Linked DNA regions of Pelodiscus sinensis. The protein of the gene in region 1 purifies or fractionates together with the protein of each later gene. This does not show direct contact. Links are inferred from orthologs where the notes say so. Each region holds a gene or a part of one and is shown on either strand. Other genes may lie near its edges. The genes, in order: MAP3K7, FKBP5 and TGFBR1.

Region 1 (3,600 bases):
ATTTAACATCCCTAAGAAGGATCTCTTAATAATTACGTGTTTCTGTTCACTCCCTCTGGAGCATCTGACATTGGCCACAGTCAGAAGACAGGGTATGAGACAAGATGAACCTTTGGTCTGACTGGGTACCACCATTCTTTTTTTTTTTTTTTTTTTTTTGATCTGAGGAAGTGGGTCTGGCCCAGGAAAGCTCATCATCTAATAAACCATCTTGTTAGTCTTTAAAGTGCTACATAGTCCTGTTTTTTGTTTCAGCGACACCAGACTAACACAGCTACATTTCTATTACTATTCGCCATTCTTATATTCTTAAGACAGACTCCCTGCTGCTCCTGGTACTGCAGCCTATGCTGCCTCCCAGAAGCAGCCAGCAGCAGGTTCCCTGCCAATGGGAGCGTGGAGCTAAATGCTCTGGCCAGGAGCAGTGCATGTTGCCCTGTGCACTCTCCACCTACAAGCCGGGCCTGTTACGGCCCATTTCTGGGGCACGGTGCAGCCCGTGGTACTAGGACAAACAGGCAGCAGCCTTAGCACCGCCACTGCTCGCCATGCAGCCACGAGACCAGCGCCTGCCATTGCACAGCGTAGCGCTGGGGGCGGTTGCTGTGCCCGTTGCAATCCCTCCCAGGGACGGCTGGGATCCGCCGTTGGTACACGAAGCCCCGGGAGCCGCTGCTGGGGGAGCTGCTACCAACAGCCGCTGCGCTTGGTGCCCCACTCGGCGCTTGAGTCCCCCGCGGCGCCGGGCGGGGCCGTTCCTAGGCGCGTGTCCCAGGCGTCTGTGCGGCTCGGAGGCGGCTCCCCCTGGCTGCCGGGCGGCTCTGGCGGGGGGGGGGGCGGAGCTGGGCCGCCGCCGGCCGCGCACGAGGGGAGGAGCCGGGAGGAGCCGCAGCCGCCGCCAGGCCATGGCCCCGCTCCGGCGGCCTTAGCAGCAGCCGGAGACTCCCCCCCGCCCCCCGGCCGGGCAGCAGGAAGCGGCTCCCCTGCCAGTAGCGGCGGCCGGAGCTCGGCTCTGAGCGGCGCCTTCCCTCCCCGCCGGGGCTGGCGGAGGCCGCGGGGCCCCGCCCCCGGGGCCGTCCCGTCTCCTCTGCTGGGGACGCGCAGTCCAGGCGAGTCCCAGGCTCCAGGGAGGCCGCGGCCTAGGGCGGGCGGCGCGCCCGAGGCGCAGGATGCGGAGCGAGGCCCCCCCGGCTGGGGGCTCCGCGCGGCCCCAGTAGCCCCGGATCGCCGCGGATGCGGCCTCGCCCCGCGCGGCGGCCCAGGAGGCGCCTCCGCCAGGCCCTCGCTCCCCAGAGCCTGTGCAGCGGGGAGGCGGCCCCCCTGAGCCGCTCCTCTGCCCCGGCCCGGCTCGGCCGGCCCTGCCCCCTCCTGCCCTAGTTGACAGCGAAGGGATGTCTGCTGCCGCCTCCGCTGAAATGATCGAAACTCCCCCGGTCCTCAACTTCGAAGAAATTGACTACAAGGAGATAGAGGTGGAAGAGGTGAGCGAACCTCGTGCTCAGAGACTCCCCTTTCCTCCCTCTGCACAGCTCCCTGGGGCTCGTAGGGCAGCTTTCACCCTACAGGACCCGAAAGACGCTTACAAACTAGATAGGTGTTGTGGTCCTGGCAGGCAGCCAGCTGCGGGGAAGTGGGGAGAAAGGAGGGGCGAGAGTGGTAGTCAGTTGGCACAAAGGTGTGGGGGTGATAGTGAAGATTCTGCTCATAGACACCGAAGCAAAACCCCAACCTTATGAGAGAGGCCGTGAGACTACTCACAGGCACGTAGAGCTGAGCGTTGTATAGTAAATTCTGTGCTATTCTCCCTCTCGGAAGTGTCTAAATACTGCAATAATGTGCATAGAAAACATGTATGGCTAGATGCAAGGCTGTTAACCTGAGCTGCCAGGGAGCTTAGATATTCCAAACACGAAGCAAGAATCATAGTGTATAGGTGAATTTTTACTTAAACAGTCTAAATTTAATCCAGACTTTGTGGGACTTCTATATGTTCTGATTAACTCACTGATCATAACCACCCAACTTTATCACTGTCAAATGGAGAATTTTTAAACTATATTGTAATGCTTCCATTTTGTCTGTGTCTATTTTTGTAAGTCTCTGTTCTCTCTTCCACCCATCCGATTCAATGTACTTATTATACACCCATTACTATGGTATCTATCTGATGATCATATCCCAATTTTTTATGTCTACATTATCATAAGCATAAAAGACTCCTTTTAGATCTATTGAACTAATGTAAGTGATGGTACAATCCAGTGGCTGTTAAATTAACATCAGTACATGTGTGACCCTTTATTGCATTTGGTATTGATTACTTGTGACGTAATTGTCCATTTATGTTGTACTTAGTTTGGGGGGGGGGGAGTTTCCTACTTGAGTGTTTCAGCGAAAGATTGGCTGTGGAAGAGCTGACTTAAATTCTTTGAAACTGGTATGCAGTTGATTAAGAAGTAGTTCTGATAAAAGTATTTGTGGCTTAGTTTGGTTTTTATGTGGAGGTAAATTCTCTAGAGCAATCTGTTTTCCAGAAAGGTTCAATGGAGATATATTAACGGCTCATTAAGGCCCTTATCTTGCAAGTTGTTCGATTCAACTGAATCCCTCCATCCCTGTGAAGTCTCTGTTTAAGTCAAGTTGTTGTACATGGGCAGACCCCCATTGAACTTGGTAGGATTTACATATGCTGACTTGCAGAAAAATTAACTTAACAAACATTGGCATCATTATAATCTATGTGTTTTTAGCTCTTTAGCAGATTAATTACTGCTGAAAGAAAAAGATCTTTTCTTCTGACTGATAACTATACAGATGTGAACTTAGACTTGTATAGCACCTTTCATATATGTGATAACCAGTAGTTCTGAGCTTTACAGCATCATTTGCTAAATAGTGATAGTTAGCCTGCATCCACAGAAGTGTATTTTTGGAGACTATAAACAGTTTTATTGAAAAGTAATGTTTTCCAAGAACACTGTTTGCAAGGTATCATGGTATCTTTGACTTTCACCTTGAGTCACCAGAAATCTGTAAAAGGTACTTTAGCTTTAATCAGTCTTTAAAATTATTTACTGTTTCCCTTTCTACAAACAAGATAACCTATATCAGATGTTCTCAAATTGGAGGGGGAGGGAATATATGGAATATATTGAGAGGCATGAGAAGCTATTAGGGGAGAGAAACTTTCTACTGAAATTTACCCACAGCATTAAATAAAGTAGAAAATCAGCATTACGAATGCCCTAGGAATGGAGATTGTTCACCACTCTTAAAATGTTGATAACTCTGAACAAAACCTTATGGTTCTTTCAAAGGTTACAACTAAACATTTACTTAATAGAACTTTGAAACTGTACTGTGCAGAAAAACTACACAGTCAACCACTGGTACTCTTTGCCAGAGGATGTGGTGAAGGCCAAGACGCTAACAGGATTCATAAAAGAATTAGATACATTCATGAAGGATAGGTCCATCAGTGGCTGTTAGCCATGATGGGCAGAGATGGTGTCCCTAACCTGTTTGCCAGAATCTGGGAATGGGATAGATCATGTGATGATTTCTTGGTCTTTCATTCCCTGTAAGGCTCTTGGCATTGGT
Region 2 (3,822 bases), on another chromosome or scaffold:
TAGGGGGCGTTACATTGGGGTCGAGGCGTTGCACTGACGGTTTGGGATCGTTGCCCTGGGGCTGAGCTGTGGCACTGAGATGTGAGGGGGTTGCACTGACGGGGCATTGCACCGGGTCTGAGGCGTTGCACTGAGGTTTTGGGGGGGTTGCACTGACAGGGGGCATTGCACCGGGTCTGAGGCGTTGCACTGAGGTTTTGGGGGGGTTGCAGTGACGGTTTGGGGTCGTTGCCCTGGGGCTGAGCTGTGGCACTGAGATTTGGGGGGGGGGTTGCACTGACAGGGGGCATTGCACCGGGCCTGAGGCGTTGCACTGAGGTTTTGGGGGGGGTTGCACTGACAGGGGGCATTGCACCGGGTCTGAGGTGTTGCACTGAGGTTTTGGGGGGGGGGTTGCACTGACAGGGGGCATTGCACCGGGCCTGAGGCGTTGCACTGAGGTTTTGGGGGGGTTGCACTGACAGGGCATTGCACCGGGTCTGAGGCGTTGCACTGAGGTTTTGGGGGGGTTGCCCTGGGGCTGAGCTGTGGCACTGAGATTTTTGGGGGGGGTTGCACTGACAGGGGGCATTGCACCGGGTCTGAGGCGTTGCACTGAGGTTTTGGGGGGGTTGCACTGACAGGGGGCATTGCACCGGGTCTGAGGCGTTGCACTGAGGTTTTGGGGGGGTTGCACTGAGGTTTTGGGGGGGTTGCACTGGGGCTGAGCTGTGGCACTGAGATGGGGGGGGGTTGCACTGACAGGGGGCATTGCACCGGGCCTGAGGCGTTGCACTGAGGTTTTGGAGGGGTTGCACGGACGGCGTGGGGGCGTTGCACAGGGGCCGCGGCGCTGCATGGAGGATTTGAGGGGCTGCACTGACTTTCTCCGGCGCTCCCCCCCCCGCGCTCTTCGCAAAAAGCTTGAGGCTGGGCTCTGCTCCCGGCAGGGGGCGGGCAGAAGCGGCCTCATTTACATGCAGGGCGGAGAAGTAGCCAATGAAGCCGCGGCTCGAGCGCCCTTGACGTAGACGGGAAGGCGCGGCGCCCAATGGGCGCTCGGGAAGGCGGGGCCTCGCTGGAAGGCGGGGGACTCGGGCCGGCTCCGGCCGGCCGCCCGGTGTCAGTTCTAGCCGGGCAGCGCGGCGGCGGGAGCCAGCGGAGCGGCAGGTAGGCGCCCCCGGGGGGTGGCGGGGCCGTGGCTCAGAGGCTGGTGAGCCCCCCCCCGAGGCTCCAGCCCCCTTTATAGTCAGGGGCTGCCCCCCCCCGGGCCGGGCCACCCATGAGCAGCCCCCCCCATTGAGAGGCAGACCCCCCCCCTCCAGGGTAACTTGGGGTCCCTGTCCCCCTATTGCCCCCTGCCTCCTCCTTCCCCCTCCCCTAAACCCCCCTTCCTCTGAACCCCCGCACTCCCACACCGCCCCCCTCTGAATCACTAATGCCTGGATGGATGTGAGGGGGCTCCAAAAGGAACATTTGGGGAGTGTGGGTGGGGTTTTTTTTGGGGGGGGGGAGAAGAATGACCCACCCCCCAATAGGGAAAGTTTTAAAAATGGGATGGTGACATTTTAATTCTGCTGAGAGGGGAGGAATATAATTCTTCCCCTCCTCCCCCCAATAACCAGAAATATAGAAGAAACAAAATGCAGGGCTATGTAGCACTTTAAAGACTAACAAGATGGTTTATTAGGCGATGAGCTTTCGTGGGGCCAGACCCACTTCCTCAGATCAAATAGTGGAAGAAAATAGTCACAACCATATATACCAAAGGATACAATTAAAAAAAGTGAACACATATGAAAAGGACAAATCACATTTCAGAACAGAAGGGGAATGCGGGGGGGGGAAGGAAGGTGAATGTCTGTGAGCTAATGATATTAGAGGTGGGGAAAGGTAAATGTCTTACCAGCAATATAGAGACCCTGGTTTAGGAGGTGATGAAGAGCAGTGGAAGGAAATGCTGCAAATATTGCATTGTGTATGTGTATCGCAAATGCTATGTAAGAGCCAGGTGGTAACCCTATCATGGGAGGAAAGGAATTAAGGAGGCATGGAGGAAAGGGGGCGAAGGAACTTGGTGGGATGTGGCGTCAGGAAGAACCTGGAGAACAGGTGGGCTGTTTGTGCTGTGGCTAAGGAACCTCTATTAAGTACTACAGGAGCCTCCTATGTATGGAAGGTGTGTGAGATTGGAGTGTATGTGGATTTGGTCCTTACCTTTGGCCTTATGGTTCTGAAATATTGCTTCTAGCCAAGGATTTTGAATTGTTTTATAAAACACTGTTATCTTTATAAATGCAATTTTGCAAGGATAGGAAGAACAGTGTCCGTTGGTTGTGTTAGGCTTTTTTGCTTTAGGATCTGGGTTACTTTTTTCCCTTGGGAGGAATGGTATGTAAAAAAAAAAAAGTTTAATGTCTTGTAATATGCCCCTTGTACTGTGGGAGACTAGATGGAGTCTGCTGGTGTTGTTGACTTCAGAAAGAGCCAAGTGTAAGGACCTGATGAAATTAATCTTTAAGTTAAACAGATAATTGACAAAAGGAAATTGTTTCAATTCTCACAATATATTGAATCTACCTGGTGTTTGAAAGCCACTGAGGAACCTTCAGCACAAAAAAATCTCTCAAAAACAGCTTACAAAAAATCTTTGCACAAAAAAGTGAGTTTAGAGTCTTTGCTTTAAATCTTCTAACTTTTGTCTGTGATACAATTATGATATTAAATATTAATATATTTTTTAATCTGGAAATTTTAAGTTAAATTGACTTTGCATCCACCCAATCATTTAAAAGAGTTATATTTGTATTAATCTTCTTTGCCCCGTATCTGAGATTTCACTTGTTTTCTGACAGAAATGTCAAACATTTCTAGATTTTCTGATTGAAAAGTGGCCTACTTTCACTATAGGCAGCCCTGTATCCTTTGCTGAAATACTGTTTTGCAGCTTCCTACAGCAGTGCTTTTCAGTGAATCCAAACATGGTCTGCAGCCATGGTAATAGAACCCTAGAGGAGGATATTTTTTTCCTCCAGGTGTAAAAGTATAGTATCATCACAAAATGAGGTTCCTGTATAATGACACCTACCGAAAAAATGTCCCATGGATTGTAAAAGTAAATACTGAGAACATGACTCTGCACAGTTTTCATATATAACACAAAATAAACATGATTGGAGACGCTCACTTTTTCTCACATTCGATTGCACAAATAGCTCTTGTGAAGTTTCTACTTTCCTGCTGCAAAGTGCATTTCAGACATGCATATTAGTGCCTCAAAGGAATATTATTTACCTGGTGAGCTATAAGAGCTTTTGAAGGATAAATTCAAAAATAATGTGTAATGTTTCCATTTGGTTAATTCCAGTTCATATTTCCAGGGCTATATTCAAGGTGCACCATTTAATTGATCCTGCCTGTGAATGAAATTGACTCTGCCTGTGAATGAAATTGACTATCTCAAACAGCTTTGCTACTTTCAGTTCTACAGTGTACTGTAGACAGTGTCTTTAAGGTGCTAGTTTGAGGAGTCTCTTTTCATTAGATGAATGCAGTGATTCTATTTAAATGTTCATTCCTAAAATGTCACCTTTTGCTAGGACAGATCATGTAAACCAAGACTTTCCCTACAGGAGGCTGGAAAGATGCTTAAACTTGTTTAAACACTTGGTGGATGGGGCTGGACCCGTGTTAGAAATTGGTATTATAAAAAAGAGAGCAAATAGTGTTTTCAATATCTTCTTTGATTAATAAAATGGTAGTAGAGAGAGAGTTACCTGGAGTTATGTAAACACTGCCCCATCAATAAATACAATGGATTAGGAACCCAAAAAAATGCCGGTT
Region 3 (3,822 bases), on another chromosome or scaffold:
ACTGTTTTCCTCAGGTGGCTCCTGGGTGGTGGTGCAGTAGGGTTAAGGCAGGCTCACCCTGCATTGGCACTGCACCACTCCCAAAAGCAGCCCACAAACTCGCTCCATCCCATGTGCATTAAAATAAAATGTGGCAAAATCAAGCACCTAAATTAGTCTATAAAGTCAGAAGCTTGATTTCTCCTGTTAACTTTAACAGGAGAAATCAGCACACTGGATGGCTACGTCTAGACAGGCATGATTTTCCGCAAATGTTTTTAACGGAAAAGTTTTTCCATGAATAGCATTTGCAGAAAAGAGCGTCTAGATTGGCACGGACACTTTTCCACAAAAAGTGCTTTTGCGGAAAAGCATCCGTGCCAATCTAGATGTTCTGTTCCGAAAATGCTTTTAACGGAAAACTTTTCCGTTAAAAGCATTTCTGGAAAATCATGCCAATCTAGACGCAGCCTCACAGAAACATAGCTATAGGGCCTGTACGTGGTAATACTCAAGTGGCTAGACACTATAGCATTTTCAAGGCAAATTTAAGAATGCCTGAGAATTGGCCACTGTTTTTGGTTCAATGGTGCAAGTGCATTTGGTGTGTCCTAATTGTAACCTTACCTGGTGACTTCCATACTTGAAGATTTAGAAACTATTGGGTGAGTGAACAAGAAGCAATGGGCCTAAATTGCAGCAAGGGAGGTTTAGGTTGGACATTAACTATTCTAACAGTAAGTTTTTCCTAATCTTTGGAATAAATTGCCTAGAGAGGCTGTGGAATCTCCATCACTGGAGATCTTTAAGAGCAAGTTAAACACCTGTGGGCTAGATGGTGGCTGGTGTTGCAATGAGTGCAAGGTACACGAGGACCTTTCTAGGTCCATTCCAGTGCTATGATTAGGCATGGCTACAAGGACTTATTCAGGAATTTCCTTGCTTTCTGTCAATCTGATTTGCTGCATGAGAGGAAAAACTCTCAGAGTACTGTCTTGTATAGAGAAGGTGTGAGCACTGGGTGTGCACAAATCCTCCCTCCTCCAGCACTGTTGAGCGTTTTACTACCAAGGGCACCTTCCAACCCTGCTTCCTCGGGCGCTGCCGGCTCTATCTCGGACACCTAGTTACTTAGCTCCTGCGGCTCCGCTACCAAGTAGCAGGCCCGGCTCTGGCACCCTTGCAGCACGCTGCAGGCAGAGAGCGCCCCCCGCCTCACTCAGCCCGCATGAGCGGGATGGAGAGAGAAGGTGGAGGCGTCTCTGTAGCGTCCAAACTCTGCTGGAGCGCGAGGCGCCCCAACCCCCGCGCGTGCCCTGCCCCCCAGGCCCACAACGGAGAGAGCTGCTGGCCAGACGCTGCCTTTTGTCCACGCGCCAGTCCAGGGGAAGGGAGACGCAGTGCGCTCAGCCACCTCCCCCGTGTCACTCTCCCCGCCTCGCGCTCACCCTCCCCACCGCCACGCCCACTTGGCCTGGCGCCGAGCCGGTTGTATTTCTCCAGACTCTTGTTGTTGTTCAGAATGTCTGCAGCCGCCTGGGAGGCGGGGCTACGGGCCGGAGCGGCCAATCAGGAGGCGCCTGCGTGTCAGTTACATTATAAAGTGGCCGCAAGGGCGAGTGTGAATCGGAGAAGCGGCGGCGCGAGGCTGAGCCCGGGCGCGAGCGGGCAGCGCCATGGAGCTAACGGCCCCTCCGCGGCCAGGCTGGGTCTTTCTCTCGCTGGCGGCCGCGGCGCTGCTGCTCCCGGGGGCGGCGGGTGAGTAGCGGCCCCGGGGGCGGGGAGGCGGCTCCGCGGGTCCCCGCCGGCTCCTTTCAACAACATGGCGCAGGGGCCGGCCGGGCGGAGCCCGCGTCCCTTTGTTGGCCGAGTCCGGCGGCTCCGGGTGCGCGCGGAGCAAAGGCGCCGAGGCTGAGGAACAGCGGCCGGGCGGCGGCTGCCGGACCCCCCCCCCCCCCCCCTCCTCGCGCCCGGAACAGGGGGTGGAGCGGGGAGCGCAGCGGGTCCGGGAGCGAGGTGAAAAAGGCACCGAGCGCGCCCGCCCCCTTCCGGCTGTGGCACCCGCTGTCTGCGCCCCTGGTCCCGGGGCAGCACCACGAGCTCTGCGCCGCGCGTGGCCCTCGCCTCCGATCGTGTCCCAGCGCCGCCGCGCACGGCCGGCTGCCCCCAGCCGCTGGGGTCTGGTCGGACCCGGTTTTCTTCTTCTGCAGCCGGTTGGGCTGTGAGCGCGCTGGAAGTCGCCTGGCGCTAGCCGCTCTCGCGTTCCTCGTTCCCGCTAGTGATCTGGGGCTTGCGTGGCTGGACAGACCCTTTAACCCTGATACACAGAGACTTGCGCCAGTCCGGATAAAATGTCGTTCCTTAAAACTTCCGCTTGCAGTCCCAGGTGCCCGGTATTCGTAACCGAAATGGGGGAAATCCCAATATGTGCTGCAGGCTTATGGTCACAATGTAACTGTTCCAGTGTTCTTTACAAATGTAAGGGTGGTGGTGGTGGAGGGGAGAGAACTACATGTTGAATGTTCCAATTAGGTAAAGCGCAAAAAAACCCAAAACAAATCTCCCCCCCACCCCCCCAAAAAAACCACTTTTTTTTCTTGAGTCTCCTGAAGTAAGAAGCCACTCGCTCTAGTTGAGTTGGGCGCCAACTTGCAATATGCTGGTATTATGTACTCTGTGATTAAAAACTGGCCTGGATGATTGCTTAGATTAAATGCTGTTTAGGTTGTAAATCTGCATTGTATTTAAGCACCTTATTGTTATACCCACTAGTATACAAAATACACATTTATAAATAAGGGCAGCATATTAGAATGTTGAGTTAGTTCTTTCTACCCCAGCAAAATCCTGCAGTTAATCTGATGTCAAAACATATAGGTTGAAGTGTGTTGCGGGAGTTGTTTGTGACTTTGGGCAACTAAGAACAGTAACACAACTGTACCTTCAGTTCTCCAAATAACGCAGGATATGTTTGGTGGTAGGACTTAGTAATATGTCCTAATACATTAATAAAGGAGATGAGCTTTTGTGAGTAAAAACCCACTTCATCAGACGAGTTGGAATTCTGTAAATTCCACTTAAATGGGATTTTTACCCACAAAAGCTCATAACCTAATAAATTTGTTGATCTCTATGGTGCCAGAGGACTGCTCATCCTTTATTAATGTTAAACCAAACATCTATAAACCTGCTTAGTTACATAATCTTTGGGTATGCACATCTGTAATGCATCAAATTATCATAAACACAGAGGAATATTATTGTGTATGTTATTGCTTACTCTTTTGCCCAAAAGATAAAGCAAAATAAATACAGAATGTATGCAATATTAGAAGTAACTTTTGTTTCAATTTAAGAAATAAGTGTAACTTGGGAAACTGCAATACTTTTCTCTTGCAGTCAGTGTTAGATGATATGTGACTTTGAGACCTGGTATAGATAAAGGTTTTTTTTTTTTTTTGGAGGGGGATGGGTTAAGATGAGGCAGAATACATACATTCATATTTAATACATCTCTGATCTCTCATTAGAGAATCTTGGTAATCCGATAAATATTTGCTTAGTGAGGAGGGGAGAGACATCCTTTGCATGGGGAAGCAGAATAAGATTGTCTGAAATTTTCAAATTATTTTAAATCTTTTCAAGACACCTTGCTATTTCCTTAAAGGAAATCAGAAACTTTTAACAGAACTAAAGGTGTCTCTTTAAAGTTTAACTTTCTTCTACTTCACAAAAACGCAGAGGAAAACAACAGTTTTACACGTGAGCTACCTCGTTAAAATAATGCAATATGAGGTATTGTTTTCTCTGGTACAAACGCTGTCTTGGGAATAGTTAAGTGTG

What was found.
Region 2: the proteins of MAP3K7 (region 1) and FKBP5 purify together in Homo sapiens (affinity purification with mass spectrometry; 4 studies listed by BioGRID and IntAct, with this or other methods). This does not show direct contact. The link is inferred for Pelodiscus sinensis from reciprocal best matches to the Homo sapiens genes MAP3K7 and FKBP5.
Region 3: the proteins of MAP3K7 (region 1) and TGFBR1 purify together in Homo sapiens (affinity purification with western blotting; 3 studies listed by BioGRID). This does not show direct contact. The link is inferred for Pelodiscus sinensis from reciprocal best matches to the Homo sapiens genes MAP3K7 and TGFBR1.

What each region holds. Positions count from the first base shown.
Region 1 is NC_134713.1:65,052,446-65,056,045, reverse strand, and holds the start of MAP3K7 (mitogen-activated protein kinase kinase kinase 7), read left to right. Parts: upstream 1-827; 5' UTR 828-1,391; coding exon 1,392-1,481; intron 1,482-3,600. UniProt on the Homo sapiens protein: Serine/threonine kinase which acts as an essential component of the MAP kinase signal transduction pathway. Plays an important role in the cascades of cellular responses evoked by changes in the environment.
Region 2 is NC_134737.1:12,704,391-12,708,212, reverse strand, and holds the start of FKBP5 (peptidyl-prolyl cis-trans isomerase FKBP5), read left to right. Parts: upstream 1-1,020; 5' UTR 1,021-1,149; intron 1,150-3,822. UniProt on the Homo sapiens protein: Immunophilin protein with PPIase and co-chaperone activities. Component of unligated steroid receptors heterocomplexes through interaction with heat-shock protein 90 (HSP90).
Region 3 is NC_134712.1:146,268,728-146,272,549, forward strand, and holds the start of TGFBR1 (TGF-beta receptor type-1), read left to right. Parts: upstream 1-1,567; 5' UTR 1,568-1,655; coding exon 1,656-1,737; intron 1,738-3,822. UniProt on the Homo sapiens protein: Transmembrane serine/threonine kinase forming with the TGF-beta type II serine/threonine kinase receptor, TGFBR2, the non-promiscuous receptor for the TGF-beta cytokines TGFB1, TGFB2 and TGFB3.